2 linked regions of the Neodiprion lecontei genome follow. The protein of the gene in region 1 interacts with the protein of each later gene in a biochemical or structural test. Links are inferred from orthologs where the notes say so. Each region holds a gene or a part of one and is shown in the gene's direction. Other genes may lie near its edges.

What was found.
Region 2: the proteins of transcription elongation regulator 1 (region 1) and splicing factor 1 form a complex in vitro, tested with the Homo sapiens proteins (3 studies listed by BioGRID). The link is inferred for Neodiprion lecontei from reciprocal best matches to the Homo sapiens genes TCERG1 and SF1.

Annotation. Positions count from the first base shown.
Region 1 is NC_060265.1:27,676,579-27,692,115, forward strand, and holds the start of transcription elongation regulator 1, read left to right. Parts: upstream 1-7,168; 5' UTR 7,169-7,409; coding exon 7,410-7,564; intron 7,565-8,408; coding exon 8,409-8,667; intron 8,668-8,773; coding exon 8,774-8,854; intron 8,855-8,979; coding exon 8,980-9,183; intron 9,184-9,277; coding exon 9,278-9,509; intron 9,510-9,591; coding exon 9,592-9,798; intron 9,799-9,881; coding exon 9,882-10,085; intron 10,086-10,268; coding exon 10,269-10,497; intron 10,498-10,582; coding exon 10,583-10,818; intron 10,819-10,908; coding exon 10,909-11,066; intron 11,067-11,158; coding exon 11,159-11,367; intron 11,368-11,525; coding exon 11,526-11,676; intron 11,677-13,959; exon of another isoform or gene 13,960-15,018; intron 15,019-15,276; exon of another isoform or gene 15,277-15,537. Other genes in the region: KAT8 regulatory NSL complex subunit 3, read right to left, coding at 807-1,966, 3,051-3,248, 3,383-3,752, 3,824-4,519, 4,606-4,887, 4,993-5,578, 5,780-6,090. UniProt on the Homo sapiens protein: Transcription factor that binds RNA polymerase II and inhibits the elongation of transcripts from target promoters. Regulates transcription elongation in a TATA box-dependent manner.
Region 2 is NC_060260.1:2,607,249-2,625,861, reverse strand, and holds splicing factor 1, read left to right. Parts: upstream 1-7,964; 5' UTR 7,965-8,106; coding exon 8,107-8,293; intron 8,294-8,482; coding exon 8,483-8,635; intron 8,636-9,433; coding exon 9,434-9,509; intron 9,510-11,818; coding exon 11,819-11,971; intron 11,972-12,119; coding exon 12,120-12,226; intron 12,227-12,324; coding exon 12,325-12,491; intron 12,492-12,581; coding exon 12,582-12,740; intron 12,741-12,817; coding exon 12,818-13,086; intron 13,087-13,172; coding exon 13,173-13,728; 3' UTR 13,729-15,136; downstream 15,137-18,613. Other genes in the region: rootletin, read left to right, coding at 1-175, 257-442, 516-760, 848-1,063, 1,125-1,326, 1,394-1,512, 1,599-1,775, 1,840-1,947 and 5 more; sorting nexin-4, read left to right, coding at 15,508-15,618, 16,151-16,257, 16,343-16,559, 16,642-16,747, 16,892-17,001, 17,084-17,221, 17,292-17,502, 17,576-17,708 and 2 more. UniProt on the Homo sapiens protein: Necessary for the ATP-dependent first step of spliceosome assembly. Binds to the intron branch point sequence (BPS) 5'-UACUAAC-3' of the pre-mRNA. May act as transcription repressor.

The DNA of each region.
Region 1 (15,537 bases):
AGAATAAATAGCGTCAGGGCTCGTATCTATTAAGGCATGTAATAATCAATGAAGTCAGTTTTGTCATTAGTGTTTCTAATGGCGAGGACAAAAGATATTTCATAATTAAATATGATAGTCAATAGCTTTTTAGCAACATTGAAAAATAATAGTTAATCATAACAGCCTTACATTTATTTTAAATGAACAAATAAATAGCAATTCTTTCAACTCGATTATTGCATTTTTACGTTTTCTGATATTTTAGAAGTATTGAAATGCATTCAGATTCCAAAATATTAGTATTGAAACAGAATAAAGTTTGTAAACTAAAAGTGAACTTAAGGATTTTCTTTAAAAATTGAAAGTCCTTATTGTTACTATGCGTTGTAGAACGATTTTCATTTTATTTCAAGAACCAATTCAGGTAAACTTGAAATATATTCCCACACGCGACTGCACCAATCTACTATTGAATCCAGCAGCCGTGTGATCTATTTATGACATACATTTACAGTAAACTGACTAAAACCATTATTTCCTCATGGCTACTTTTTCTTTCAAATTAACATAAATTACTTTTATGAATAATAGTATCAATTCTTCTTCTATTATATTGATATAACAAGTATATTAAATTTCAGATAATGGCTTTGGTTTGCTAATTTCAAACTTTTAGCAGTAAAAATATAAAATCATCATTTATAAACGTAAAAATTGTATCGTAGAGATAAATTGACAGTTGAATGTACAATTTGACATCTACATAGACATACAGATCTAATGTAATGTTCATCGCAAAACTTGAGGTTACATTAACTAGTTATTTATCCTTTTACATTTTCGTTTTGTTTTTCAATAATTTCAGAAGATGCGTTTGTATCCGAAAGGAAAACCTTGGTCTTTACAATATCTATTTCTGTATTTGAATCCGCATGATTAAGTGATTCAGTGTCGTGACCGTTTTTCGATGGTGATGTCAAGTCAATTTCTGATACAGTTGGAATTTTTCGCTCAATAATATTTGTCTTGATAGCATCCTCAATTTCCAATGCATCATCTTGAATGATTTCTTGAAATTTAATTTGATGCCTCGGAAGCATCTGAGCGTATCTATGTTCATTTTTTTCATAACTAACCATCTTTGAAGTATTTTTAGTTAAAACAACTTGTTCATTCTTATCGTCGTGAATATTACTAGGAACAGAATTTCTCTTGGCTAAAATAATCTTAGTATACTTAATCGTTGGGTGATTCAATCGTGGTATTGTTTGTGTCGGTGTACCGATGCGATTAGTGCTTGTTATAGATTGATTTTGCAAGCGGGATGTCAGAACTGCACGATTAACATGATGCAGCGGTCCAGTCGCTCGAACAAGAGCTTGCATTGGTGTATTGGCTAAACTTGTGATGGGATGTTGTATTTTATCATGCTTATTACTGATCAATACAACCTTCGTGGTCCCACTTAGTTTTGGAATATTTTTGTCGTAAGGATCCATCATAACTGGCACTTGAGAGATTGGCGGAGCTTTTTCAATGGCGTTTAAATTTTCGCCGTCTTTAGCAAATATTATTGGAATGTCCAGTATGTTACCCAAATCGTCGTCAAAGTCATCATTAATTTTTTTTCGCGTTGGCGATTGTGGTTTGTTGACTTTCTGTACTCTTTGGAGATTACAATTGTTCACTGTTATCTTTGGCACTGTTTTCATAGACCTTTGGCTCATCATCATTTTGCTTGACAGGGGTAAAATGGTTATTGTATTTTGACCAGACATTGGTACTAACATCGAAGCTGTTCTCGAATTGTTCAAACTATCTGCTAACATCACTACATTCTCCGATGATACTGCAAGAGGATAGTTTGTATTCGATGAACTGGTTTGGGAAGCGGGTAGAGACTGCATCTTAGACACATCCAACGGTTGATTTGAGGTAGATATAGTTCGATTCGTACTGCTGCTTGCTCCGTTGTTCTCCGGCTCTATAAAATAGAGATACCGTTCTCAGATATTACGAGAGAAACGGGAAAAATGTTAAAATATGTACCAAGTTACAGTGCAATTGATAACCCTGCATACATAAGATGTACATCAAATATCTAAACATGTATCTGTGTAAGCAAAAGTATATTGTTATGAAAAACCTGTTCACATTCATCTTAGCACTATAAACAGCACGTTAAGTTTTCAATTTCGATAAAGAGAGACCAGTTAATGACCTATGATTTCTCAAGTTAAATTGTTTTTTTTATTTTCGCTGTATGTAAAAACCGGCAATGATGCTGCTTTTAAACTTCGTTGTAATTTTGATCAGACTCAAAACTTCTCAAAACGTAAATTTTATACATTAAAATGAATGGTATAAGGTTCCTATTCTTGTAAATTGTTACGATTTCAACATTAAATTACAAGAAAGAAGAAATATCTTTATACATATATATACATGCATATCTTAAGAATTTAAAGTCATTAGAACGAATTAATATGGAATAAACCGTTCATTTCAACCTCTTAATAGATTAATTTTTACCAAGGTGAGGGATAGGAATTAAAAGAAAACCGAGTTACATGAAATTGTTTATTGAACATAAAATATAAGGCAATGTTGGTGTATTTACACATGATAAAATATTTCTTCTGACAAAATTCGATTGAACAACAATGTTCTCGTCTTGGATGCATAGCATTTTGCAGTGCATCCTTCGCAATCAAACTTTAGGCATTGAAGACCAGATTTAATTTGAAGCATTCATTATCTACAAATGACTGTTCCTAGCAACGACTATATTACATATATTCATACAGTTATTGTATGATATCATGTTACATACAAATAAAATGTATTAAAAAAAAAAAACCTGTCCTAAGCTAATGATCCTTACATTCAATACCATAATTGCGTCTTATCGTTGTGCGAATAGAGATTCTTTGTTATTTGAAAACTGAGGTCAACATATAGACGTAATACTTGACTAAAATCTTCAATACAAAACAACGCCGGTCGTTGTGAAAATATATAAAATTTCATTTACTTATTCGTAATATGGCTAGATAATAGAATTCTACCTTTTGGTGTAGTTGTTGATGAGGATGATACAATCGTGTGTGTATTTGGAGTTGAAACACTGGGCGTCAACAAAATGCTTGATGCAGAGGTACCTTTTCCCATTGGCATACCACTGACTATTCCCATTGGACTTCTTCTGCTCTGCAGTAGCGCGGAAAGAGCTCCACTTGCATTAGTTACAGATTTTACCTGCATCGCTATAGAAAACAGATACATACACGATTCTGAGAAATTATCAAATTTATTGTATGTGCAATTAATGTTTCTAATTGATATTATATTCACAAATAGGTTGATACCAAAAAATCATAATTAGTAAATCAAATATTACCTGCAGCAGTAGACGCACTGACCCTAACTTGATTTCCAGCCGTAGTTAGAACGTTTACCAATTTAGCTTCGCCACCTTTGTCCGTAATATTGATGTGCTTATAACTGCTCGTTACAGTTTTAGAGAAGTTTTTACTTGTTGTCATAACTGTTTTCAGTTTTGAACTACTTTGAGGACTGGTATTTGTGGCCATCATTTTAGGCATTTTAGAATACACGTTTGACGGCCTGCATACATTGCTCATCTTGGTTGTAGTCGGAAAAGTTTGACCGGCTGAGGTTGTTGCCATACGCAATGGTCCGATGGGTGCTAAACTGGCCAAGGTACCAATGTTCAACGTTATCCCCGCGCCTGCATTACTTGCATTCAACTGTATAACAATTTGTATAGTCAATCCAATGCTGCATCAAAGCATAATGTTGCTAAACAAAATTTCCTTACCTGCCCCGATAGTCTTGGTGATAATAGCTGGTCAGGCAAAGTCACTTTCTGATTACTGATGACTCTAGGTTTTCGTTTAGATGCCGAGGCATGATTTAAATTTGCTCCGCTGATTGCTAAAAGGGTTGGCTGCGTATTTATAGTTCCCGATCGCACCAGAGATCCTGCTGAAGACTTTTGCGGTGTACCAGAGACAGCATTAGGCGTGATGGGTGTCATAGGTCTAGTTTTTTTCGAACTCGGAGAGTGTGGTTCGCTCTCTACTGAACTGCTAGTAGAATTTTTCCTCTTTCTAGACTCCTTTTTCATAGATTTGTCAGAGTTTATCAAGGGATTAGATCGCAGAGGCAGAGGATGAGGTTGCAGCAGAATACTGCCAACAAAATCACCAACTTCGTCAAGTATACATCTGTCGACTATGCTCTGTGTTATACCCTCAGATATTTTCTTTGCCGTAGATATTCTCAGGTGATCATCCGCTGTTCCTATAACAACTAGGCTTGTTTCGACAAGCATTTTTTCCCTCAGATCTTCCAAGTCATCGGGTCTCACAAGTGTCGCATTTTGACCAATTACAAACATAACAGGGCATCTAATATCCATCAAAGTGTCATCAGGGGTCCCCCGTTTTCCTTCTACAGTCGTGAATGGAAAGCCCAAGCAAATCACTGCCGTTACATGTTCCATTTGAGCTACCTAAGAAACAGTTAAAATAGATTCTTAGTCGCCATGAAATATATACAGTGAAATGTTTTACAAAGTGGTAAATAATTAAGTCTCACTTGGCAAGCGAGAGCAGCTCCTGTGTTAAATCCAACAAGGATTATTGGGCGCCCTGGATAATCACTACGAACGTCTTGTATTTTGGTTCTGGTAGCTTGTACTAGTTGCTCCATGCACGCCATCATCGTCATTCTATTTGCCGCTAATCCCATGTGTGTATGCACATTGACAACCATACCCAATGCTCCCAAATGCGCAATCCATTTGTGTTGTCGTGAAGAAACACTGGTTCCGACTCCAGAGGGTGCTATGACAAGGATTGGATTGCCAGGTAACTTTTTCTGGAAACAATATGACAAGTATTAAAGTAGTGATCTACTTTTGCAAATAATCTACTCCGAAACTTGCATCATTAATTCTATTGTGGTATCAAAGGTTTAACTTACTGGCCTGCTTGCATTCAGTGTTGATGCGATTGGATCCCATGATCTTTTTAGCAATGGTCCGAGGGTTTCCCAGGTTATTGACCCACTTTTAGCATTTAAGTTTGGTTGTATGGCTATTATTTTATCTATTAATTGTGGAATTTTTAATCTCAACGTTTGAAGAATATCCAGGTAAATAGCCATATATTCCTGGGGTAGATTTTCGAAGAGTAAATTATGCAGCCATTGAGCTACTCGAAAATCCCACCCAGCAGATGCGAGTGTTTCTCTGAATCTTCGTGCAGCTGTGTCAACGGAAGTTCTTCGAAAAATTGGTTCCATTAAACTATTCGCTTTTACCAATCTAGCTAACCGTTCTGATGATAATATGCGCATAACTTTGGTAAAAATACGATTTTGAATCGGAGTCCAAAGGATTTTTTCTATCTTTTCTTCCCAATCATCATTTTCGTCAGGTCGAGCAAAATTAGCAAGTCTCTGAAACTCGTCCATCACATGACGAGTTCTGGCTAAATCGTACGGCGGCGTGACAGACTCCGTCATATCTCCTTCAACGTTGACCTCTTCATCCTGTTTTAGTTTATCCCTATTTTTTTAAATCCAGAACAACAAAACAAACAAATTTCAATTATAAAAAAAATAGAAAAGAAAATTCTGAGAGCGGGAATAAAGAAATAAAAATTATCCGAGATTTTATCATTCTCGTAGCTCTCCTTCAGTTAGGTTATTAAAAAATTAACACAAATGAAATAGGAAAACACGCCGTGCACTATCATCTTATACTCACGTGACTAACAAACTTCTCGGCTTGCTGAAGAACAGTTTCTTGACTGGCTTGACATATACATTTTCCGGTTTCCAGTTCCAAGGGCGAGCATAGCAGTGATCCTTGACGATAACGTTGATTTCACTCTCGAAACATCCAGCGAGCTGATGTAAATATGTGGTTAATGTATTTGGGTTATCATCAAACGTGTCACCAGTTGGACTAGGTAGTCCTGAGCCTACTGTTGATGAAGTGGAAACAACGGGACACGTCGACAGCAACATTTTCATTATACTATCTCGTCCAGTAGCTGACCTCAAAACATCTGTCATCTCAATAAACTTCAACTTTTAAGCGAACAGCATCCTGCAATATCAAATGACAATGTTATACAAAGCATTATCGAAAGGATAGTAGTAATATTCAGGACACCATTTAATAATGCAACATACCGTGCACTAGATTTTTTCAAACAACTCCAAAACTCATCGTAGACTAAAATTGTTATAGGATGAATTGCAGCGTTCTTTCCATGTTTTCGTGAACACACATTAGGAGGATGATATTTAACCTTAGCTATTTACATGGGTGATAATTGTTTTCAACGTGGTTAAAAAGTTGTGAATGAAAAAATAGTTTTTGAACTCGTGCGTAAATTATTGTGCGTTGGTGGAGGCAACAGTCACTTCGTAGACGATGCGATTGTTAACACGCATAGGATAGAATAGAAGTATTTTTACTCCACTCGCGTATTTCACAGATTGACTAATAGCCACAATCGCAATTTTTTCATGGTCGAAACTGTATTAGGAATAATCTGAGTTATATATATCAAATACACAACACAATACACGAATTGCGCAACGCGTCCGTGTTTCTCAGGAGCTGCTGACTGCTAGTTTTTCTTTTCGGAACATGTCAGCACACCATGATGTCAGCATCTGCGCACATTGACGATATTTCGTACGTTTCGGCAATCAGCAAAGGGGCGACTGGAAGGGGAAACCCTGGTCATATTTTTTCGCTGCTATAATATCCCCTAGCCAAAGACTACTCGGATTGCCAAGCGTCGGTAAATGGAAACATTTTTGCGTAGTTATTTTTGCGTGGACGAATGCTTACGCGCATTCTTTAATATACTGAACATTTTGATCTAAAAAGCTGTAGTTAGTTTCGTGAGTATAATCATTGGTGAAATGTTAAAATAATTAGCCATTCTATACAAGTCGCTATAGTTCTGCACGAAACGCGTCACGGACGAGGATGGCACGAATACTTCAGCAGAATAGAAATTATTTATAACTATTTCACCATATACCTCGCTGATAAAATTTTCGAAGAACATTTTGTGTGAAAAGTTGAATCAATTTCATTTACTGATTTAGTGATAATTGGAAACGATTGCAATAAGGGTTTCCAATTTTCAATCGGTAAAGAAGGAAAATGGTAGCGCCTTAATCAAGGGTAATTTCTTTCTTGGGTTGGTAATTACGTGTTTACTGCTTGCCGCTTGCGCCTCGCGCTGGAATAGTGATTTGTTTGCGGCGTTTCGTGCTTCGACACAACGGCAAAAGAAAGAAAAGATTTGCTTAATGGGCGTAAATAGTTTATAAAGCAGTTACCATAATTTTTCACGATAAATTAACACACTATGGAAGTAAGCAGTGAACAACCCGCTCCAACTATGGAGCCTGCCGCTAATACAGAGCAGGAAGCCACCGAAGAACCTACAGAGGAAACAGAGGAGTACAATTTCGATGGTGACGACTACAGGCCTTTTATTCCGCGAGGCCGAGGAGGTTTTAGGTAATAAAATACTGAGTGGAAAGTTTAAACTACTCGCCAATTTCCCGACCACCTCGATTAACTTCCTCGCAAAGATTTATTGAAGTTCGAAGAAAGATTTCGAAAGCAATATTCACTCCAGAAAAATTACAGCAATAATCATAATAATAACGAGGACGTCATGTGTTATCTGTACACACACATGTAGCCATGGAAACAATTTTTTTTTTCAACTGAAAATGATTAATATGGATGTTATTCTGTTACACTTGGTCAATTCAAAGGGAAAACATGTTTCAAAAGACTTATATTCCCACACAAGTTATCACCAAAAAATCTAAATAGTCTGGCAAACAGATTGATACATGCTAGCAAAAATAAAATTTTTATCTTTGTAAATTCCAACCACAAATCGGTCAGAAGTTATTTGATTCTCATGATTTTCATTTGAAATATCCAGACAATATATTTATCTTATAGAGCTGGCATTTGAGAAGTTCTGATAAATGTAGAACTGCGAATTTGAAAAATGATTTGCTTCCGTTTCTTTCTAATTCTCGGTCGCACCAATTCTCTATAATATTTAATTCGCAATCTTGTAACAGTTTTGGACTTGTTTCCAATCTTGTCAAGAGTGGGACTGATTATTTTGTCTGATACTTTCTTACTATTGTTTACAATTTCCAGCACAATTCACTCATATTTAAAATTGACTTAAAATTTTGAATGTACATTTTCTCAAAACTTTGAGCTTTTAAGTACGTACTCAATATTCTGATATTCATATTGATGACGTTGATAGATGATCTGTAATAAGTGATTCCAAGTGCATAGGTAATCACCTTTTTTTATGGTTTTATTTTAGGGGTCGGGGTCGGGGAGCATTTGACTTTCCAATGAGAGGTGGGCCCCCTAGATTTAGAGGACGAGGATTTGGCCCACGTGGGCCAATGTTCAGAGGAGGAAACAATGGGTTCCCATTCGAAGGTCCACCACGTCCCAATTGTCCACCAGGCCCTGGAGGACCACGTTTTCGTGGCCCACCACCATTCGATCCAAGCTGGGGCCCTATGGGACCCCCTAATTTGATGGGGCCTCCCAACATGATGGGACCACCTGGAATGGTAGCCTGTTTATTCGAATTCTGAGAATGATCTCAACTCTTGGATGGTCAATGCATTTGTGAAATCGTTAAAGATTATACTAATTTTCGTTTGTGTCATTTTTCAGCCCCCTCCGCACATGATGAACGGACCTCTTGGTGCTGGCCCGTATGGTCCACCGCCTGGAATGGGACCACCAAGCATGAATGTACGTCTGTAATTAATCGATAAAATGAGGATTATCAGCTGAATGAAGTTTGATATTCTCACTTGTGGCATGAATATCTTATGTAAGAGTAAACTACTTACTGATAAATGATAATCTGTTTAAAGCAGGGAGCACAAGTCGCCGGTCAGCAGACTCAACAGCAGATACATCAATCGCAAACAAACATTCCAGGATTAGACCTTAATGGTGAGGTATGGGTTGAGACGAAAACTGGGGACGGAAAGTCATATTTTTATAATATAAGAACAAGAGAGACTACCTGGACCAAGCCTGAGGGACCAAATGTTAAAGTTATGGCGCAAGATCAGGTGGGCATTCAGAATTTGCGGTATTCCGTATTTCCTTATTAGTTTCACATACTTTCACCTCCTAACCTGGTAAAATTCTTATGTAATATATTAGTTAGAGCAACTGGTACATGGCGCTGCTAAACAAGGTACTGGATCGACAACGCCAACAGGTACAATACAGTCTCAACCGGCTGAAACACGAGTAACACAGTCTGGCGAACAAGTAACTGGCAGCTCAGAAGCTCAGAGTCAAGCTGCTACCTCAACACCTTCTTCTGCAACTACCGCACCAGCCAGTGAACCAACCGACACAAGTGTACAGCCGGAAATAAGTCAGACAAATGGTTAAAATTATATATAATACGTTATCTCACATTGTTTCATATACCGGATTTATGAAGTAACGTAAAATATAAAACTTTGCAGCATCACCATCGGCTGTTAGTGCACTGGCGACTAATGGCACAGCAAACATGATGCAACCACCACCAAATATGCTGCCAATGCAACACAGAATGCCCACCAATCAGTTTGGAGGTCCTATACCCACTCCGTTTGGAGCAGCACCTTTTGGCATGCCTCCGCCAGGCTTCCAGGCGTTTGGAAATTATGGACCACCTCAAACAAATTGGGGTAAATAATTTTTCTTGGCGCGAAATTTAAATTGTGTTATGAGCACATTCATTTTCAGCGAACGAATGTCCCTTTTTATTCAGGTATGCCACAAATGCCACATGGAGTTATGACTCCTCAGACTGGTGTTGAAGATCCCGCCATATTGGCACAGATAGACCCGGAGTTAGTGGCGTTAGCATTAGTTTGGACTGAACATCGTGCACCTGATGGCCGGATGTACTATTATAATACAAAAGCAGGCGAATCAGTTTGGGAAAAGCCCCAGCCAATGAAAGATTTTGAAAGTACGTATATCAATACTCAGGACTAGAAAATCGGGAGAATCACTGCACGAGTTTATAAATTATATCCAAAGATTTTCATCAATTTGTGATTCCTTCATATTGTCTGTTTCTTGGAGTAACAGGTCACATTTTGATACCGACTATTACTAATATGCTACAAACCTTTTCTTATCGAATTTTCAGATGCAAAACTTGCCATACGACAAAAAGCAGATGACATAGTACCTGCTGGAACTCAAGACGTGCCGATCAAACTTGAGAAACAAGAAGAGAGTAGCCCAGAGACCAAAGAAAATTTCAAGGAAACTGAAAATAACAAACAAAAGAAAGATGAAGTTGTTCCCAAAGAATCAACTAAACCACAAGATAAATCAAGGCCGATTTCTAGCACTCCCGTTCCTGGAACACCATGGTAATAATTGTCTTGTTCAGCTGTATATATTAAAAATAAACTTTCCTATTTGTTATTTAATATTTGCTATGTTTTCCATAATTAGGTGCGTTGTGTGGACTGGAGACGGTCGCGTATTTTTCTATAATCCCTCTTCCCGAATATCAGTGTGGGAAAGGCCCGAGGATCTAGTTGGACGGGCAGACGTTGAGAAACTGATTGCCACTCCACCAGATGCTGTTGCTACACCCAAAAATCCACACCAATCAGATTCTTGCGAAAGCAGTGACGAGGAACAGCCAACACCAGCTAAAAAACCAAAACAAGAAGAAGTTGTTAAAGGTATTTAATCAATTTGCCTCAGCATATGTAGATGGCAAAGTTATCAACATTATATACCTGCTGTTTGTTTTACATTAATGTCGTTCTCAGTCATCCCTAAGGAGGAGGAGGAAAAGGAAGGAAAGAAAACTATTGACATAGGTAAGGAGGCTGCGATTGAAGCAGAAGTGAGGGCTGCTAGAGAGAGAGCCATTGTTCCTTTGGATACAAGAATCAAATCATTCAAAGATATGCTAGCAGAAAAAGATGTAAGTAGAATTTGCCGTTGTTCTGTGACAATCAGTTAACTTTCAATTGTTGACGATACTTATATATTTTATTCGACCCTATTTGGATTCAGGTATCAGCATTCAGTACGTGGGAGAAAGAGTTACATAAAATAGTATTCGACCCTCGCTATTTGTTGTTGACATCGAAGGAGAGGAAGCAAGTCTTTGAAAAATATGTAAAGGAGCGAGCTGAGGAGGAAAGACGAGAGAAGCGAAATAAAATGAAGGAAAGGAAGGAACAATTTCAGAAGCTTCTCGAAGAAGCTACACTTCATGGAAAGTAGGTTACTGACTTACTGTATATTTTATGATGAGATATGGTATTCTGTATCATCTCAACACCTTCATTCTATCATCATGATCCCAAAAATCTGGCATTGTATCTGGCATTTTGTGTCACAGTTTAAATTTAACTTTTTATATTTTATGTGAAAACAGATCATCGTTCAGTGATTTTGCTCAAAAACATGGCAAAGACGACCGTTTTAAAAATGTGGAGAAGATGCGCGAGCGCGAGAGTCTGTTCAACGAATATCTACTGGAAGTGCGAAAGCGGGAGAAGGAGGAGAAAACGGCTAAACGAGAACAGGTATGCCAGTTGGAATTATTCAGCATAACATAATACTGCCGATTGAAAGGCCAATTTTTTTACAGGTTTTACTTTGAAAGAAAGTAATCAACGTTTTGGCAAAATTCTAGAAAATCAAACAATCGAATCATCATTAGATCACGCATTCACAGTTTCATATAAAATATCTTGTTTTTTAGAATTTAATTAGGCAAACTGAGAATATTTCGAACATTTTCGAGTTTGGCTTCTTGTTCTTGATTCTCAAGTAACTCAAAGTTTGTGATACTAAATCTTTCTCGTTTCAATTTGAAGACCAGAAACTTAGTGTAAGACTGCCAACTGATTAAGCTCGATTAACAATAACATATATAATAATCTTTACTACGTTTTAGCAACCTTCGCATTTTTTTCAGCAAGTATGTGAGCCTAACATGTTATACAATAACTTACTGCCATGAAATCTGATTTTAAATAATCCTCAGGTCAAATAACAATTCACCACGTCTTTGTTTTTTCTTCTATCTTTTGCGTCCAACAGTGAAAAAATACGACTTCAATTGTTGTGATTTTAAAAGTATTTGCCAATGTTGGAAAGCTTGCTAAAATTCCTTTTCCAATTATATTAAGTAAAAATTGGCATTGCATAACTCCAATGACTGTGAGATACTGGAAGCTACACCATGAAAAATGATGTTCAAGCATTTTTACTATCTATTCAAACAGCATACATTTAACAGCGTTACAGTTTCCTGCATGCAGAATACAAAGGTTTGTCGTATCATGTGAGACTCGGATAATTTTTTGGTAGATTGCAATCGACAGAATGAGATGTTGACATAAGAATGGTTGGTGAAAGACTTGAAGTCACTGCCCATGCCTAATTTAATGAAATCTAAACATTTGGAGGAACCCTGATGTGTTTATTAGTATGAATTTTGCGAGGGAGTAATTGGTGGAAGTTAGAATGATAAAATATTGAATGATTCGTTACAAATAATGTCGTATCAATCAGTGGGCAGTAACTTGTTGTATGAACATTGTCTACAAAATTAATATACTTTTTGTACTTTCAGTGATAACAAACAATTTTTTCAGGTTCCGTAGGTATGTTATTATTTTGTTCCAATTGAATGATTTTTAATATTAATTCCTAAGGGCAATAATAACAACAGTGATATAGTTATTATTAACGAACGAAGAACACACATAGGAAGAAATGAGAAGTAAACTCTCTACTCTCTAATCCAATCTGTTTGATGAAAAATCTTTCCATATATATAAACAATCATAAATTGTTGGGAGAGATAGAGAATAAATAGTTGGTATATGACGGTTCCTTATGTACTTATGTGTTCTGAACTCTCCACTTCAGTCAGGAGGCAGGCAGGGCAGGTTCCATATGTGGAGTGGCATGGTTCTGAAGCTGGTTGGTGGCATGGATGATGTCATCTACCATCCCCACCTACACTGCGTGGCACAGTTGGCACACCCTCGCGCGCTGCATTCTTAACTCCAAAGCAGAGTCATGAGAATGAAACAACTCGGTATTTGTATATTAATCGTAATCCTCGTTACTTGAACAAAAACAAACAAACAAACAAAGAAAAAGAAATACAGATTAACTTCTCTCAAATCAAAATCATTCTTTGGAAGTATCAGATGAAAATAGTAATGAGTTCCCATTGAATTTCAAAAGTAAAAAAATTATAAATCAATAATATCCCTTAGGTAGCGCAAAATTCATTTCCCTTAATTATATCACGTTATTGAACGATAGACATGATCCATTTTATCGTGGTACAATTATCATACGAATTAACTATGAACATACTATTTTTGAAAATTTGGGAATTTTTTCAATATATAATACTTCTTTTTGTACATATAAAGATAATTTGCATTTACGTAAGAATGGTTAAAACGTACTTTTTACCTGTACCGGATGGCTTCCAGGGAATTAACTAAACTGTTGTCTTTTCTTTGTAGTTTACCAAACTCATAGCAAATCACGATTATTTGGATAGATTTTTGCACGACATTTAGAGTTTGAAATTTTTATTCGATATCTGTCACACTTCCACCCTCTGAGCGATGAGATGATCAATATTTTCAGATATATACTCTGAATACCCCAAATCACCGTTATTAGTTATATGATGAATATGATTTAGAGGAGCGCTCGTAAACCAACCAGTACGTGTGGAATGAAATGTGTGGTTACTTGTGGATTCATACTTCGCGGATAGAAGTAATGCTGCGGTTCATCTATCAATGATTCAGAAAACTTGAATGAGGTATTAATTTTCATATTTGAGCAGCGTTTCATCTGTAATTTGACGTTCCCCGTGAAATAACAAAATAATGCTGGCGATATCAACTTTTTGAGATGAAAATCACCTCTCATCCTTTCAATGGTGTTACAGTATGGTTGATGACGTAGTTTCAAACTTTGTTGCTGGAGTGAAGATCTAGTATTGAATTGAGTTGCGTGCACAGTAGTCACACCGAATATGGAACACTAAGTTTAATAGAATTAAATACTCGTGAAAAGTGAATAGACTCGGCTTTATACATTTTACAACAAGTTTATCTAAGACACCTAATTTTCCAAATGGAATAGCGGTAATCTGGTCCAGGCCTCATTAATTGTTATAAATTGAAATCGATTTCTCATTAGTGTGAAAAATGGAAAGTTTAGCCACTGTTATATACCATTTATTTTCCTTGCATACTGTAAAAATATGATCCATAACAGTTTTTTTGTCATCGTCGAATTTCACTTTGTCACATTTTATCTAGTAATTAATTAAAATCAGCAGACGGAAGACAAAGATGTCTAGTATTAATATAGAAATTCCATTTTTTTGACGTAAATAGAAGATAAAATTTTGGTTTACCTAATTTAACCATTCTTCCGTTGATGTTGAATTACGTCCCTATTCTTACAGCTCAATGTTGTCATAGAAACTCATTCTATGAATTTTATCAAAGTTATAAGTTTATTGTAACTTTACGTGGCTTCGAGCGAATATTAATATATAACTCTGATCGGTGTGAAAATAGTCTTATGATTCGATCACAAAGTATGATGATCCCCACACTAGCAATTAGAGACGACAATTCTATTTTTTATAATCTCAACACAAATAATTTGTACCGTATTTTTCTGACGACATAAAACAATTCAGGATAGTACTTCCCCATAATGCAGATGTACATCATGTGACATTTGGTATACATCATTTCAGCTGGTAACTTCAAAAAATATTTCACTTCCTCGTTTGCGGGTTCAGATGACATATTTCTCGGCATTACCATCTACTTAAAATTGATTCCGAAGAACTGGAAAATTGATATAAGGTGAGGGAAAATCCAGAAAAAAGGCTGGCGATCCACACTATTGATAAAGTTTTATCAACGGCGTGAAAATCGTTGTTGAGGAATTTTAACTATAAATAAAAACCGAGATAAAAAATATTTGAATTCCGGTTGTTAGAGAGTCATCATTCAAGAAAAATTATGACTTTGTAAACAACGGTAAAAACCGATTTCTTGAGTACGAATAATACCCAACTAGATAAATACGGTACATACTACTTTTCCTCTAAAATTTTTTAGGATTAGTCGACCAGTTACATCTTTAATGGCAATGTCAAGCGCAAAATGTGCCAACGTCTTAATCTATTGGAATGGTTTTCTTTTGTCTTATTTAAGTATATATTCCTTCAATAATTTTCTGTACATGGTAAGAAGAGTTAGACAAAATGGAAGTTGAAATATCAAGGGCCAATTTCAGGTTACATAACTAGATTTAAAGATGTTCAGGCTGCTTCGACGTTGATGTAATGTTACGAATCTGATTATTCGAATTAAAATCTA
Region 2 (18,613 bases), on another chromosome or scaffold:
CTTAAAGCGGAGGAGGAAAAAATGCGGCTCGATTTAAAAATCGAGGAACTCTGGAAGGAGAAGGAAAGCTCTCAGCGAGAGACCGAAGAACTCCAGGTACAGCTACACATGGCCGAAGACAAGGTCGATGGTTTACAAAATCAACTGCAGGAGACCGGCAGAAAATTAAAAGAAGGTACGTTTCAGCTCATTTTTCTCATCGACACTATCGCCAAACACTCTTGAGGCAATTCCTCACGAGTCTAAATTGTTGCAGCCGAAAATTCAATCGAAATGTTGCGAAAGGAGCTAGTCGACGTTCGCCGACAATTGACGGACACGAACTATGAGAAGGAGAAGTACAACAGTAGTAATAAGGAATTGCGGGAATACGTGAAACGCACGGAGGGTGAAAAACGAGAGCAGGCTCGAGCTCTGGAAGAAGCTTATCAAAAGATTGCAGGTAAATTCCAAACAGTATGACACTTTTGAGATCCGTTTCCACAAAGCTTGACTGCAAATTGTCGTTCTTGCAGGTCTGGAAGACCTTAGGACTACAATCGACAACGAAAGATCACGACTCCAGTCTCAGCTCCGAGACATGGAGCGAGATGCGATGCAGCTGCAACAACAACTCCGAGCTACTCAGGACGAGCTGCAAAAATCCCAGGCTGCAAATGCTCAGGGACAAAACGAGGAGAGAGAGTTGCAGGCGAGATTAGCTAACGAGACCGAAGAAAGGGAACGTCTCCAACTGCAACTGCATCAACTGAAGAAACAGGTCCAGCTCAATTTCTTATTCGCTTCTGACGACCGGTAGTGAAGCATTTCGTAAAGTCACTTTTGGTTCTTTGTATTTTCTCCATAGGCAATCGACTTGGACAACAGCTTGGAAGTGACTCGCCAAGAACTTGGAAGACTTCGTTCCCGAGGAGACGAAGAAGACGAGAGATGGCGTGCTAGAGAACAAGAGCTCCTGATCCGACTGGAAGACAGTCGATGTCGGGAACGAAAACTGGAGGATCAGAAGCACAACTTGGAAGTCTGTTTGGCTGATGCTTCGCAACAACTCCAGGAACTCAAGGTATGCCTAACGTTATTCTGATATCCCGTCGAGAAAAAAATCCTTTGATTCTGACTTCCAGGCCCGACTTGGCGGTTCCGAGGGAAGGGTCCGTGCTCTGGATGCTCAATTAAACCAACTAGAAACAGCCAAGAAAGAAGTTGAGCAAAAGCTGAGCAGTGTCGGATCGACTCTTCGTCGTATTGCTGGTATTCAACTCGACGGCAGCGTCAATATGCCTTTCAAATTAATGAGCCCCTCGCGAAGATGGAGCCCCGCGCGTGGTACGTAGTTCATAAGTCATCCCCTTGAGTAAGATTCTCCATCTTCAATGCTGGATACATGTTGCAGCAAGCCACGCCGATCACGGAGACGGCGGACGAGACGTCATACTTGATGTTGATCCGGAGGCTGTGAGAAAGGGGGTTCGATCTCTTATGCAGCAAGTGGCTCAAATTGAACGAGAGCGAGTAGGGCCCAATTGCAATCGTCCATTCGTTCAACGTTTTCTGCTAATTTACACCTTGACGTGTGCCCGTTTTCTTGATGATTCCAGGACGATTGCAGAATTGAAATCAACAGTATCAGGAAGCAGCTGACAGAGGCACAAGAGAACCAGTCAAAGGCTGATTCGAAGCTCAACAATTTACTGAGCAACCTGCGATCTTTACAGGATGAAAAAAGTACACTTGAGGCAAAATTGTCCCAGAGACAGGCCGCCTTCCAAGCGCAGGTATGCACCTCATTTTGTATGCAAATACGTATAAAGGTCAGCTGGTAATTTGTATGTATTCCAGTCCGAAGCCTTAAAGCAAAGAACTGAGGAGAACGAACAAATGCGGGAAAAAATGACCACCCTTGAATTAACCATCAGTAGCGAGTCTGAAGGAAAGAGTCAGTACGAGGTGAGAAAGGCCCCAGATCAACTTCAACCTATTACCTTAATCGTTACTGGCACGTAACAACTGTTATCTGCGATAGGAAAAACTTGAAAAAATGCGACAAGCACTAGCGAAGCTGGAAAATGAAAAAAGAGGCCTCCAAGATGAATTGGGAAGAAATGAATCCCGCTCGACGAAGCTAGAGCTTCAACGCATGTCGCTGGAGGGAGACTTGCAACGTCTGCAAATGATACTGCAAGAAAAGGAAGGAAATATTCAGGTATCGAACATCGACAGTGCTAAAACTGAGGGTGGAGGATGATTTATATTTGAATCTTGCACCAGGTTTTTATAAAAAAAAAGAGTCCCTGAGACTCTGCTGGATCTTGCGAATGCGCAGACCTAGCGCTGAGATTTCGTGAGGTCCACGTGGAACTACCACCGAAGCTTCGCTACATCTGAACGGAGCTTCGGTTAGCGTTCCCACGGGGTCTTCGCGACGCCTCCGCGCAGCTCGATGCATCGGCAAGGGTTCTGCTGAAACTCTGGGATTCCCCATGTACCCTGTACTCGGATTAGCCTGCGAATATTCAGTTGATTGGCTTAGTTTCACTACGAAAGAGTCACGATCATTGATTACTCTCCTTCGCGTCTGCGCCGCATAGCGTCAAAGCTACTAAAACTTGCTATGCGAAAAGGCGCGCATTTCGAATTTCAATTCGCGGGAGACTAGAACTTGCTTGGTAGCTGTTGACGTACATCGTGGATCTTGTTCTTCGCTCCTGTCGTGCAAGCTACCGTTGAAATTTTTTCTAGAAATTGCAAGACAGAGTTGAAACGCAAAGCCGAACGACGGCTAGCCTAGAAGAAAGGTGCGCTTCGTTGAAAACAACGATTGAACAACTGAACTTAGCTTTGGAGCGAGCGTCGTCCGGAGAAAGTGAATTCAGGAATGAGATAAACGCCCTGCAACGAAGTCTCATGGAAAGTAACGCGTCGTCTCAAAGCCAGAACGAAAAACTGAAACAGGTTGAGATACAGCTATAAGTATATTGCTTTTAGATGGTCGTAGATGGAAGAGTTCATGTGTACACTCATTGCATTCCTCCCAATTAAAACCAGCTGCAGAAACAACTATCCAACAGCGAGAACGAGCGCCGCATATTATCAGAGAGACTGGACTCCACGCAGCAAGCAATGGCTGAGCTCAGACGCACAAATCAAACTTTAGCCGACCAGACAACCAGGCTTCAGAACGAATTGGCCAATAACGAAGTACAACGATCCGGCCTGGAATCTCAACTAAGATTGGCCAGCTGGCCTCCGGAAGGCTCATCAAACAAAGACGAAGAACTCGTAAGGCAACTCCACAGTGCACAACGAGAAAGAAGTGAACTTAAAGGAAAGGTCGATGCTTTGAACGATAAAGTAAGTCGCTCTTTCTTTTCGGATTCAATCGGTTCGTTCGTTACAGAGACGTGATGGAATGATAGAATGTGAATATCAGATATGAGTTAGAAAAGATACATTTCTGTTCGATGTTGTATTTTCACAGGTAAAAGCTCTTGAAGCAGACAAACGGAACATGGAACGACAGCTTTCATCATCTCGATCGAGCAATATCCGTAGCAAGAGTTACGAACGTCCCGAAAAGGCTCAGATGGAGTTGATGGGTTCTAACATAAGCGTGGAAAATCTGGAACAAGAGAACAGAGATCTGAGATTGAGGATTCGCAGATTGGAGACGAATCTCGCGGAAAAGGAAGCGGAGCTTATTCGGTTGCGAACGTCACATTCGCACTCCCATTCGCATTCGACGTCAGATCTAAGCAGGGATAGAAGCGGAGAGATCGAAAGATTGCGAGCAGCTCAGTTGCAGGCGGAAAAATTGCTAGAGGCCAGAGAGCAAAGCCACCGTCAACAAGTGTTGCGACTTGAAAATCAGGTATTTTTTGTGTAACGGTATTCGGATTTTTTAGTAAACATTTATCTCTTATCGTTCGGCTTTTGACGCGTCCAGATTCAATTGCTGAGAGAACAACTGAATCAAGAAATCAAACGCCGTCAACTTTACGTGCTGCGAAGTTCTCGCGCAGGGCGAGAAATGCAGCAGCTTCGACAAGCTCTGGGGGATTCCTTGAGGACGGTGTCGCAGGATCCATCCTTGGACGCGGTACTCCTGGAACACGAAGCCAGGAAATTGGACTCGACTCTTTCCAGCACCGCGAGTTTGCCGCCTTCTTTGGCCTTGCCTCCGTCCTCTTCGTACGACAGAAGATCTCCGACGCCGACGCGGCTGAAATAAACCTGAAACTAATCAATAGAGGATGAATCCGAGAAGAAGGAAGGAAAAATGATAACATTTGTTCAATCAATGTGTAATGAAAATTCGGTGCCTTTGCCGAAATGCGTTGATCGAGAGGGCATTGCACAATATTTAATCATATTGTATAGCGGTACGTGTATTCTTCGTTTTGGGAACTGCTATGAGGCATTCTATGATAGTTGAGGATACATTTAGAAGTTGTTCTCTCTCGATGCTCGGTAGGCATTGCGGACCGAAGAAAGTTAGTCGATCTGAACCGGAAGGGACAGATGTAGATATATTATTACGTAGATGATCATTCAAGTTTCTTTATTATTGATACAAATTATATAACTACATTGATTTATTTGTGTTTTGTTGTGTAACTGTGCGTCAGTCGATGTTCTCTATTCTTCGTAAATCACGCCTAAAATTTCGTTATGTGTACGTTATATACATGGGTATACACTTATATTATATTATACATTTACAGAATTGATTTTTTTTTTATCGCTTGTTTTATTATATATTTTGCTTCCAGCATATTGACTCTGTGAAGATCAATAATAATATTATCACCGAAAATTACGCATTATGTCGTACGAAAGAGACCAGAATATTTGATTGACCTCGTTGTTCGAATTCAGAATTAATTGATTCTTTTCACATAAATCTGATACAATTTGACTGAACTGGAAAAAAATTATAGCCTTGAAATTTGAAGATCTTATTTTGAGTTGATTGCAAGAAAAATTAGGAAAAATTGTTGAGTATATTTCAAATTTTACAACGTTACAAATATGTTCTTCATATATATATTTATAAATATATATTGATATTATTTATTCGTATCAGTATAATTCACGAACTTCAATTATTTATTGTTAGATTCATTTTATAACTCGTTTTGTTATGCCTCCAGTATTATTTTTTCGATTAATTATCTAGCGGTATACGTATCGTTCATATTATTTACACAACATACACATTACATATATATATATATATATACAATATTAATATATATTATAGTTAAGAAATTGCGAACAACCGTTTCTAAGTTAATAGCAAATAGTTTTCGAAATAATCATTTTAAAGAGTCTCTCTATCTATCTTTGCTCTCTGATCTCTGAACAATATAAATCTATACATGATACATATGTTACGGAATAATGAACAGGCTATCTTATGACAATATTCAAAGTTATTTTTTAAGTGTATTATAATATTGCCTCGTTCATGATCGATACAGTGGAAGAGGCTCTTGCAACACAGAATGTGCATACAATAAGGAAATGCTATGTTTAGTCTCGTCCCGAGACCAAACTTTATCATCTGAGGAGAGCATAAACAAATAACATGCATAGGCTTTTACAAGTTTTCAATTCAATCATTATGAGTTTGCTTGAATCAGATTCACTGATTATATAATTGGCATAGATTACCGATAGATCAAAATTGTAACTTATTATGAGTATATGTAGCCAGAAGATGTAGATGGCAGAGAATGGATTGTGTCAGTTCTTTAATATTGAGAATATTGACATCCAGTCCAGCCATATCATCTACTCAGACTTAAAACTATACCATTCGACTGTATCGGAACATGAAGAATTCACACGTTTGGTTTAAATAAGTCTACGTTTCATGTCCTTGTACAACTTTATATACCAAAATATCATATACGGCATCATGTACTATACATACAATACATAGTATAATAATATATCAATTCCATACAACTTACATCGGTGAATGATAATTTGACTCGACGTATATAAATATAAGTTTCACTCATTTTCATGAGATTCGAACGACATTTATAATTTTCACTTCATATTGAACATTGCATGAGTAGATAATAAAAGTTTAACTCACAACCCGAAACTCTCTATATTTTCATACTACAAAAATATGTCTTATTTTACGAATGGCTTGATGATCGTTGTTGTTAATATAATTATCTGTTTGATTAAGAGTCAAACGTTAACCGCCGTGCAAAGAACTGAGGAGAACGAACAAATCCGGGAAAAAATGACCACCCGAATTAACCATCAGTAGCGCGTCTGAAGGAAAGAGTCAGTACGAGGTGAGAAAAGCCCCAGATCAACTTTATCTATTATCTTAATCGTTACTGGCACGTAACAACCTTTATCTGCGATAGGAGAAACTTGAAAAAATGCGATAAGCACTAGCGAAGTTGGAATATAAAAAACAGGGCCTCCAAGATGAATTGGGAAGAAACGAATCCCGCTTGACGAAGCTAGAGCTTCAACGCATGTCGCTGGAGGGAGACTTACAACGTTTGCAAATGATACTGCAACAAAAGGAAGGAAATATTCGGATATCGGACACAGACAATACTGGAACTGAGTGCGGAAGCATCTGATGTTTGTATCTTACACCAGGGCTTTTTTTTCCTATAGAGTCCCTGAGACTCCGTTGGATCTTGCAAATGCGCAGAGCTAGCGCTGAAATTTCGCGGAGTCCCCGCGAAATCCCCGCAATTCTTCTGCGCAAGCTCCGTGCACTTACGATTTATGTTGGTTCTCTGGAACTCCCGGTGTTCGCCGGACTTGGATTAACCGGGAAATATCCGGTGGTTTGGCTTACTTTCACCGCATGAGAGCCACGATCTTTGATTACTCGCCTCCGCGTCTGCGCCGCATAACGTCGATGCCGTTAAAACTCGCGTCGCGATGCGAACGCTGAGGCAACGTTGCATCGCAGAATTACGAGTCAATCGACAGAGTTGTCTAATTTCGGCTGTAATTTTTCGTTGTTTTATAAAACAAGTGTTTGACAGAGATGTGACACATGATCACCAACGTGAGTACATGACATTTTAACCGAATTTAACAAAAAGTAATGTGAGGCTTATTATAAAAATTTGAAATGAGTCGCATCGCTCGCGGTAAAGGTGTCAAAGCAAAGCAGATGGTCCGGAACACTGCAAAATCAGCGAAATCAAACTCGTCATTTTTATGGAAGATGTATAGACGGATGCCGAATTGCTCGATAAAAAAACTCGCCAAGATAACTGGTTGGAAATGGAATAGCCTCAACAAACCAGAAAAACCCGCACGCGCAATCACACAATCGTCGGGTAAATGCGCTCGTCCACATCGCAGAAGACCTGCAATTCATTTATCGCAATTGAAATCGGATGCCATCGCCAAGGATGTTCCAACGCTAAATTCTCATTGCTGGAATGACAAGCTGTGCCGTTTGTCTCATCCACTTTTGCGTACGTCTGTAATGAATCATGTCCTCCTAGGAATCGAAGTTGTCATTAGTACACTATTGTTCAATAAATTTTTCTACAGATAAGATATCTCCTTTGATATCGTCTCTGATGCTGTACTTGTAAATTTGTAGTAAAATTTTCACCTTACAATATCGCACTTGTCACCCGACCAACCGCAATCCGACTCATACAGCTTCGTTGAATGCGCATAAAAATTCGCTGCGAATTTTATAGAAATCGATCATTTCTTTCGGTAATCAGATGAGTAGTTCGAGTTGCAATTCGATTCTTCTTCAAGGTAACAGCACACGGTTTTTCAAACTGTACAAAACATTATCGGAATTTAGATTGACCTTTGTCGGATGTATAATCGAATTTGAAAAGACGCGCTCTTTTCACAGCCGCATCAAACGCAGCCTCTGAAGGACGCGCGTATATTCGGTAGGTCTGGCAACATTGGAAAGAGCGCATGCGTGGATGCAGTCGTAGATGGGATCGCCATCTTTGAAGTGTATCGAATTTTTTTCTGTTGCTAACTCCGTTACAGTGTAACATCGTCAGCAACGCGGTGCCAGAGTTTAATAATAGGTGTAATAATCGTGCGCCTGCCCGTGAAGGGAGTCAGTCAGCGATGAATCAGTCTCGGAATTTCACGTCCCTGTTGAATCCAAGTTATTTACAAAATGCGCAAAATGCCGCTGCGGCAAACGCGGCCGCCGCAGCAGCCGCTGCAGCTGCTGCTGTGTCTGCGGCTATCGCCAACGGGACTTCGTTAAGCTCCAGCAGTTCGTCCCAGAGTAGAAAGCGGGAAGCTGAAAGTAAGTAGTGAAATTCAGGAGCCTCGTTCGATTTGAATTAGCCACTAAGTTCGCGCACAGGTTACATTTCGATTCGATGATGAAAACCTGGGAGTTACATTTCACTGACTGCACGTATTTTCAATTACCCAAGAGAGCTACCCACTAACACTTATATTTCCCTTTTTTTTTTATCCTTCTTAAACTCAGGCGATGGAAAATCAGACAAGGAGTCCAGAGAGGAACGGCGTAAGCGAAGGAAGACCAGATGGGGAGGTAGCGAACACGACAAGACATTCATTCCAGGGATGCCGACGGTTCTCCCGACTAATCTTACCCCAGAACAGGAGCAGGCTTACCTCTGTAAGTTGTGTTTTCTTGCCATGTCTTATCAGTCGTAACTCCTATAAGCTCATAGCCTCTAGGATACATTTAGGTGGTACTGTATTATTTATGCGAGGAAAAATTTTGGAGCTCGAAAAGCACTTGTTCATTTGTTTGTTTATCTCAATTATTATTTATTTATTTATTATTTTTTTTGCTTCACATTAGATGACCGTTACGATGTAAGTATGATAAATTTATTTTTGGGAAAAAAAAAAGTTGGAAAAATTGTTAAACTGTATAAGATAAAAGTTATTTAGTGGTGAAGGTAAGCAGTTTTATTATTAATTATTTGATTCAAGAAAGAAAAAAAAAAACAATCAATAAGGAAAATAAAAATATACATCGTTCAACGTTTGGGACGATCAAAACTTTGAAGAGAACCTTTTTACGATTTTTTTTTTTTTTTTTTTGTATCCGATTTTTTCGGAGCTGTATGTTAACAACGAATACCGTTGACCTAGATTGCATATAATCTCAATCCCGTGGGTAAACCTACTTTTGAGAGAAAGCCGTTGTGATGGAATAATGTGAACAATGTGCGATGAGTCAGGATTGAACTTGGTGATACTTTTTGATAGATTTAATCTTATAGACTTATAACTCATGCTATTAACCAATTCCACTCAAGGTTTTGATTCTCAGGCTGATATCGTACGATTTATGAAAAGAACATATGTACATATATTGCTATACATTAGCAATGTATACCCTTTTGACAAATTGGCATTGTCTAACTGTTGGGGTTTCCGCCCCCTCTAACCCGTTGGTTTACAGTTCAGCTGCAGATTGAGGAAATCAGCAGGAAACTCCGTACTGGCGACCTTGGAATACCGCCAAACCCCGAAGAAAGGTTTGAACGAATCTTACGTACCAAAAAAATGACCATTACAATACCTACAGTATCGACTGCCGTCACTGAGCAGCCGCTAACTCATGGTTGTTAAAAGGTTTTTAAAATGGCTCTACATAAATTAGTCGGACCCCTGACGGCCAACTGAGAGCTGGGGGCTTGGAACCTCGAGCTCTGATGTTCACCGAAGATGAATTATGATAATATTGGTTTGCTCTAATCAATTTATCTTACTATTTCATTTTAATTGAATACTGCTACACTCTTCTAGGATACTTAACGGCAAGGAAATTTATGCCTCAAACTTTTAGAATGATGCAATTTTTTTCAATGTTATCGCTTGAGGTGGATTCTCTTTTCCATCGATTGCGTAGCAGTATTTAATACCTAAGGGGCATTCCTGGCACCTTTTTCGTCTAGTATTTAACCTTACCCAGTACCTACTATAGCAACAGGTTACGGTTGCGGGATGAGTCGGGTGGCTGAATGCACAAGTTGCGTTTACCATTGCTTCAGACTGCTAAAGACAGGCAGGCAAAGACCTAACGCAGCTCAAGCGCAGAAATATTTACAGAAAGAAATCTCACATAGCTTATAATTGGATCAAAGTAGGCTTCAAATCAACGCCCTTGAGTGGCTATCCTTGGTAGTCCTTAGGCGATGAGTTTACCAATGAATTTCGTATTAGATTTGGATATTTGAGTGCACACCGTTCATGTAGAATTAGAAAAGTCTAAAGTAAAACAATTCCCTATCAAGAGTCAACATTTGTGACTACAAAATACCTGGCTAAAAGTATGGTATTGGCAAGGCGAGTACTATTCACTCGTCGTGCTTCTCAGGTTGATTTGCATAATGAAACTTGACTTGAATGCATTGAGCCGAATTTGTAGAATTGTAAATGTCCCGTTATTCTGTGTCTAATGAATATTCATTGGCCACCTTTGTCATTATTTCGTGCGGTAACTAGACTGCCGTGATTTGCACGGCAACCGAATGAACCACTAATGATGATTACGACTTTAATGCTAAGAACCAGGTTGTACAGATAGCATACAGCAGCACATCTTTACTACTAATGAAAAATTTAATGGGCAGATTACAGGAAAAAGAAAACAATGAAAGCGTAAATGTTAATAATATAATCGTTTTTACTTTACCCATCGATCTAACGTTACTTTCAGGAACACAACTTGAATTAATCTTCACAGTAATTTCTTAATCTCTTTGATTTATTCCAATAGGTTTTACTAATTCAATTTTAGCTGGACGCATTCTTGTATATTATTGTATTATCGTTTTAGTGTTTGTATACTGTTTGAAAGTATGCAAGAAGCGTACATGCATACAGCTTTGTGATATATGACTAATTAAACAAAAATTATTATTTCCTAATAATCACAGGATTTATCTTAGCAGCTGACATCATATCCATATCTGCCGTGCACAATCGTGCAGTCTACCAGCGGTTCACTACAATATGATATAATCGATATACGCACAATAGCTAAGCCATTGTGTTTACGGTCAATTGCATTAATATTTCAATACATTGGCAGCGTGTTTCAAAGACCATATGTATTCTTACAATCGGTTATCGTGGGTCCTTTAATTATCAATTCTTTCTCATTATTTTCTTCTGTCTTCCTCTGTCTTCTGCATTTGTGGGGCAAACTAATCATGTGAAATACTATAATACGCTGCTACGTCATAAACTGGTATATAATATGAATGATGCCCAACCCATAGAAATAATTTCTCAAAGTTTCGCCTATCATTTAGTCTTTTACTGCATTGTTTTACGATATACTAACAACGCCACAGAAACAAAAGTACAATATCTAGACTTGAAGTTGTTTTTCTTTTTGTGCAAGTCATTTTCTTAAGAAATGCAATAAGAGTTGTGTGACTGCCAAATATCATCTATGTGGAAAATTTATTTTGAAGCAAACTGTGTGTAAATAGGTACAAAGGGAACTACAAAGAAATTTTTGGACATTAGTCAGCGAAATGAGAGCATACACCGTATAGAACAGGCCTGTAAAGCCTACGTAACGTATAAACAAAAAATAACTGCGTTCAAAATGATGAAGTGAAAACATAGAATTGTTATCAGCTCTTCGCTATGTGAAGTTGAAGTTTTTTCATGCATTCAGAGAAAATTCCTTACAACTAGCTTTCTATAATTAAAAACCATAAAAGTGAGAATCAAGTTTGAGGTAGAGTGAGATTAGAAAGTCAGGTCGCTTGTACGCTAGTACCATCTCCCTATGTCCGAGGCACTGATCTATGATTACTTTTTTTTTCAGGTCCCCATCTCCGGAGCCGATTTACAGTAGCGATGGTAAGCGCTTGAACACCCGCGAATATCGAACTCGACGAAAATTGGAGGAGGAAAGGCACAATCTTATTCAGAAGATACTGAAAATTAATCCTGAGTTCAAACCGCCACCAGATTACAAGTGAGATTTAAAAAAATCCTGTAATCAATTCACCGTTTGATTGAAACTGCGTATCATCAAAATACTATAATTTGAAAACTCAATTACTTATACATCCTGATGGAATTAAAAATGATTGTAATTTATAGTCTAACTTTATTCATTACAGGCCACCAATAATCCGTGTACATGATAAAGTTATGATTCCACAAGAGGAGCATCCGGACATAAACTTTGTCGGTTTGCTTATTGGACCACGTGGGAATACTTTGAAATGTACGTAATTTTGTTTATGCTAAACTTGTGTCATGACTGCACTGAATTTATTTGGTACAGAGTAGCTGAATTTTTTTTCCTATTCCATCCTTTTACAGCAATGGAAAAAGAAACCGGCGCCAAGATTATTATTCGTGGAAAGGGTTCAGTAAAAGAAGGTAAAGTTGGTAGAAAAGATGGTCAGCCTTTGCCAGGAGAGGACGAACCGTTGCATGCGTACATTACTGCGAACAATCTTGATGCTGTGAAGAAAGCAGTTGAAAGGGTGTGTATGCCTCTAATGAAAACCAAACGAAACCATCCCAATATTTAATCTATACTCCAGAAAAATACACAAGTGTATCGTTGTTGTTAGATTCATGAAATAATTAGACAAGGAGTTGAAGTACCTGAGGGCCAGAACGATTTACGTCGCAATCAATTACGCGAATTAGCATTGCTGAATGGAACACTTCGAGAGAATGACGGACCTCGATGTACGAACTGTGGCGCAAGCGACCACAAATCTTGGCTGGTAAGTATATCACCACTTTTCGTCTTCTGGTCCGCTGCAGAAGCTCTAATCTTTATTATCTCGCAACTTATTTCCAGTGTCCTGACAAACCCAATGTTACCAATAACATCGTATGCTCGAGTTGCGGAGGCGCGGGACATATAGCGCGAGATTGTCGATCAAAACGACCTGGTCAAGGTGGTCCAGCAGCTGCTGGAATGACTGGAATCACCCCAGGTGGCGATAAAGCAAAGATTGACGAGGAATACATGTCACTAATGGCTGAGCTCGGCGAGGGTCCACCCCCAGATCGATCCAAGGGACATCAACGCTCCCAAAACACAAATTATCCGGGTCTATTCGATAGGTAAGTCGTCGACTCCCTGACTTGACCAGAATTATGTTACTGATATTCTTCACAATATTAGCTATAAAAATTGATACTTCTTTCAGACAACAAGCGCCTCGTGCTTTGATGGCAGCTCCGGCACATCCACCGCCGCAGATGATGCAAGGCGGTCCAATGATGCCTCCACCAGGCATGGCGCCGCCTCCCTGGACCCAGAACGATGTGAACAGCATGAATGGTATGAATATGCAGTGGCAACCTCCGGTCAGCATGCCTCCGCCTCCAGGTGTGATGCAGCCGCCACCTCCGCCCCCCGGCTCAACCACGCAACCCAATATTCCACCGTTGATGCCGTGGATGACTGCAAACAACCAGCCTCCACCGCCCGGCCAAATGCCACCAAGCCAAATGCCCCCGGGAATGGGAGGAATGCCACCGTGGCAACAAGGGCAACAAAGTCCGATGCGTCCTCCGCCTCCTGGAACAGCTCCACCTCCTGGATATCCGGGATGGCAGCAGCAAACCCTGAGCGGATGGCCGCCAGCAGCCCCTGTACCTCCGCCACCTCAGCAACCGGCACCTGCACCGCCGGGTATCGATTTGAACAGCTTACCGACATTGTTGGCGCAACCGCCGCCGCCACCTCCGCCAACCAGTTAGTGCAAAACTGAGTCGAACCACGAAATTTAATTTTGAATTACCACTTAGGTGTAACAGCCAAAAGGGTAAGTTAAGTTTGCTACTTCGTTAAGTGTGAGAAATTAAGGTTTCGATAACGTCGGTTGGGTGTCCATGCCGATCGAGATGTGGCTGAGATTCGTCTTTTCTTCGTTTTCTTACGTTGTTTCACGTGGGTGATCTTACTTTTGAAACACGTATTTTCAGAATGTGTATCACAATTTACGAGATATCATGGAGTAGACACTAAATAACACAAATCAGCCGATGAAATTTATCATTTTTATTGTGTGAAAAACGTTATCTTGTTTTTTCCAGTAGTAAGCGTCCCTTAAAATTTAATTATTCAATGTTAGTTATTTAGATTTGTTAGGTACAATCTGATTAATTGACAAATGTTTTTTTTCATCACTTTGAACGATCATCCGTCTGTGTACAACAGAACCACTTGAAAATTGATTCGAACCTCACCTGATAGGAACGATGTTTTGTAACATTATTTCTCCTGAATAGATCCAAAGACAAACAGTCAAGCATGTGAGTGTTTTTATATACTGTACGTCAACATCTGTTGGCTGTTTAGAAAAAATTTTGCACGGGGTTTTTGTCTACAATGTGAAAAGCCTCGAATGACGTTCGAAAATTTGGAACAATTTTCTATATTATAAATATAATTTTTGTTTGTGGATTTCACAACAGCAATAGTATAAATTATCATATACTTAAACAGTATATATAAGTATATACATACAAAGCACGATACAGAATCAAAAAATGATGCAAGAAAAAGAAACAAGAAATTTAACAAAAGATTAATTTACTAAGTAAAACATAATCACTTCTTTAATTAGCGCATGCGTATATAATAGTTAATAAGTAACTATATTCATCAACCTGCGCAGATTTCTAATTATTTTATTCACTATAAATCTTCCTAATTTAACAAAACTTTTACGTGGAATGAAATGTCATTTGGGTTATTTTCAGTGTATTGTACTGCATATGTCAAATATTACTGAAAAATAAAATTATCAATAATAAAGGTATAATTCTGACGAATGGGACCAGCATAGTCGCATAATTAAACCAGTCGTATGGAATTTGGGCGTACTACTTGTCCATCCTATGTATTGCCATAGAGAAGACTGCGCGCTTTGCGCACAGTGTTGAAGCTGTGACAAAACAAAGAACGACAGCTGCAGGCATTTTCTCTCACTCTAATCGGTGACTTGGCAGGGGCAACACATAGGACTTATACACGTAGCCTCCCCACCTTGCGACTGCTCCCCACTCTTGCGCACCCTGCGCAAGGGTTCTTGGGTAATTTGAAATTCTTAATTATATCATGCTGAAAACATTGGTTTTGAATCTTGATACATTCTACTAATCATCGACACGTATGATGTTTTTGAATGAGTATTTCTCTTCCATATGATGTATTGGCTTTCTGGGACGTATTGGACGACCCGAGCGACTAAACTGATAACGAATGGACAAACTGTAGCGACTTGGCCCAAATTCATCACGCCGACTTTCGGCGCACGCGCGTTTGTTTCACCGCTCGGTTCAGACGGGTAGAAACCTCCGATGCGACGCTTTGCATCGACGTCAGTTCAGCAGCTTTAGCAATTAGCTAGCCAAAGATGAAATAAATAGGTCGTGATGTGATCAGGTGACTTTGGCGTAGTGCGAAGAGTTGATGGACAGACAATCGCGAATTAATATTAACTCGAAGTCGATATCCGTCTGCACGGAGGAACGATGGAGGAAATATTTCAAAACGGGAATTACGACGATAGACTAGGAAATAACATCTCAACAATAACAACAACAGCCAACATGACTACATCAGAGGAAATAATACGGAAAGAGGTAAATACGCATCGATGATTTTTAGTATAATATCACGGGGTGAAAGAAGATTGAGAGACGCGTCCTAGGTACAGTGTCTACTTGTAATTTCTAAACATTATTCCTACATATGATTACAGTTCGATCTGATCTACATATTTAAGAGAGGGAGAATCAAAAATAGGTAACGCGATAATTCTAACGGCAGAAGATAATTCAAATACTCTAGTCGCACCCTGACATGTGTACAAACAATATTATCATGTATACTTCGCCTGTTGACTTTCTACGATAATCAGCAAAGTCCTCCTCCTGTTATGTTGACCCAGTGACCCATCTCTCCAATCAATTTTACTCAACTCTGATTTGAACACGAGTTTTGCAATAAAGTAAATAAAATATTTTCAGTAAATAACGTGGGAGTAACTGAAAAATTTCAATATCAAAGAGTTTTAACATTCTTCCTTTAGATCCCGATTCAATAACAATTGCTAAAAAACTTTATGAGCATTAGATCATCGATAAATAATATTACTCTAATTCGCCATTTCAGGATTGTCTTCTTGATCATATGGAAATCGTGATAGTGGAGGCAGAAAAGCGTGCCAACGGAGCTTTAAATCTCAGAGAATTTTACACGGTTTATTTGGTGGAAACCAAGTGAGTGGGTCTTGTTATTCTAAACAAGTATATTGATTTCAGCCTGAGATTTTACCCCACTAATGATACATCGTGTGTGTTTCAGAGTAACCGATCCAGACTTCAAAGGCGCTCTGACACAACTTAGTTCGTTATGGAGACGCTACACCGAATTTGAATTGTTACGGGCTTACCTGGAGGTATCTTATCCTTACATAGTGTTACCTGCGCTGCCTGAGAAGAAGGTACTTTATGGATGGCAAAAGGTAGCTTCCGATACGTTCGATCCTGACTTTGTCGATCGCCGTAGAGCTGGACTTGAGGTAAGGATGTAGACTGTAGATTATGTTTGCTTAATAAATTATTTAAATATATACTATATTTCCCGCTGCTTATTGCCTACAGAATTTCCTGTTGCGTGTTGCTTCACATCCAGTGTTATCACACGACGAACACTTCATGGGTTTCCTGCAGCAGGAAAACGATTGGCGAGAGAGTATCAAGGAAACTGGTAGGTATAAAGTTGGCTGAAACTTTTGTGCCACTGATAAAGATAGCAGCTGAGTTTTTCAGGTCAATTTTATTCAGGATACATAATTACAGCACGAATTTTTCGAGCCTTGCATAGTGTGATACGGTTCTTTCTTTCTTCTAGGCTATCTGCATCTAGCAGAATCCAAGCTAAAAGCTCTTAGCGTAGCTGTGAGACTGAAAAAACCTGATAAACGATTTGAAACAATAAAAAACTACGGAATTGAATTACAGGTAAGGGGGTACAGAAAGATTCATTGTTTATTCAACCTTTCCGCGATCATGTCCCGAATTTATCCACCATTCATCATTTCAGAGCAATTTATGCAACCTACTTAGAGTTCGAGCACGTCTGGTCGAAAAGCAATATGGACTGTACAAATTACACGCTAATTATGGACGTGTGTTCAGCGAGTGGAGTGCTATAGAGAAAGAAATGGGCGATGGTCTGCAGGTACTTTATTTATCCTCGCTTCTCCTCACTTCATCGGTATTTAATACCTTATCCTGAATGATTTTTACAGAAATCTGGACATTACTTAGACTCGATAGCCGCAAGTATTGACACAGCTCTAGAGGAGGAGGAGCTCATCGCAGACCAATTGAAGGAGTGGTTATTTGGGGCTTCTGCACTACAGGCAGTCGTCAGACGAAGAGAAGCTTTGCAACTGGTTAGCGATGAGACCTACGATTCTCTCACCGCGACTTGTGAGCATAAGGATAAATTGCAGCAAGGTATACGAAAATCTCTAAGAATAAACATCTAATTCTCAACAATTTATTACACGCATTGTTACATCGTTTACAGGTAAAACTGGGCTCATATCCCGTCTGTTCGGGTCTGTGGATACAGAAGAGGTGCGTGAGCTGAAGGTTCACCAGCTGGAGCAGAGAATTAATCAAAGTGAAACAGCTGTGAAACAGGCGAACGAAGACTTGGAGTGAGTTAAGCTCTTTTGACTTTCATTAATATCTTGATGGCTGCAATGTTATCGGTTGGGACGTTGATAACGGTCGACACTTTATTTCCAGATCTTTCTCCATCAAAGCAATGGTGGATATAGAAAGATTCCAGCACCAGAAAGTACTAGATTTGAAGGAGACTCTCGCTGCATATTGTGTTCTACAGTTTAAGTTAGCTAGAAAGGTAATAAAAGCTGTACTTTGGTTCTGTTGTTTTTGGCATTGCAGTCTTGTTCGAAATAAAATGGAAATAAACTAACATTTGATATTTTCAGGGTCTTCAAACTTGGCAACATATCAAAGATTGCCTTGAGAGTATTCCTTAAGCTATTCAAAGCACATCCTGCAAGTACAATATCTCTTTATCAAGTGCAACATCACAAAACAACCTTAATCGTTCCATGTCACCCGATGTACATCTACATTCCTGCATTTATAAGCTCTCCAGACGTTTGATGTTCTAAGGTTATTTAAATATTCTTATTTAATAGATATTAGTTTGTGCATAATACATACTGAGCACAGCGTATACGCGTTGTGTATAAATACCTGAAAGACGAGCAGCACCGTTTAGTATTTATATGTACCTACATCTATATATTTAAAACAAAAAACATATATATATTTATGAATATAGATATATACGTGTATATATATATTCCATTGTTCGGCAAAGTTTAAGTAAAAGCGTCTGCGTAATTTGACGCAAAATTTGCTTTAAAAATTTAATAAACTTCGCATATGTACGTACAACGTTCCTACGCTTAAATCAAATTATTCAACGAGTTTTCGTTCCTTCATAAAATACTGAACCACAGTATAACTTTTTGTTAACGATCAATCATGCTAAACTTCCGGTTATGACGTGTTCGCACGACCCGCG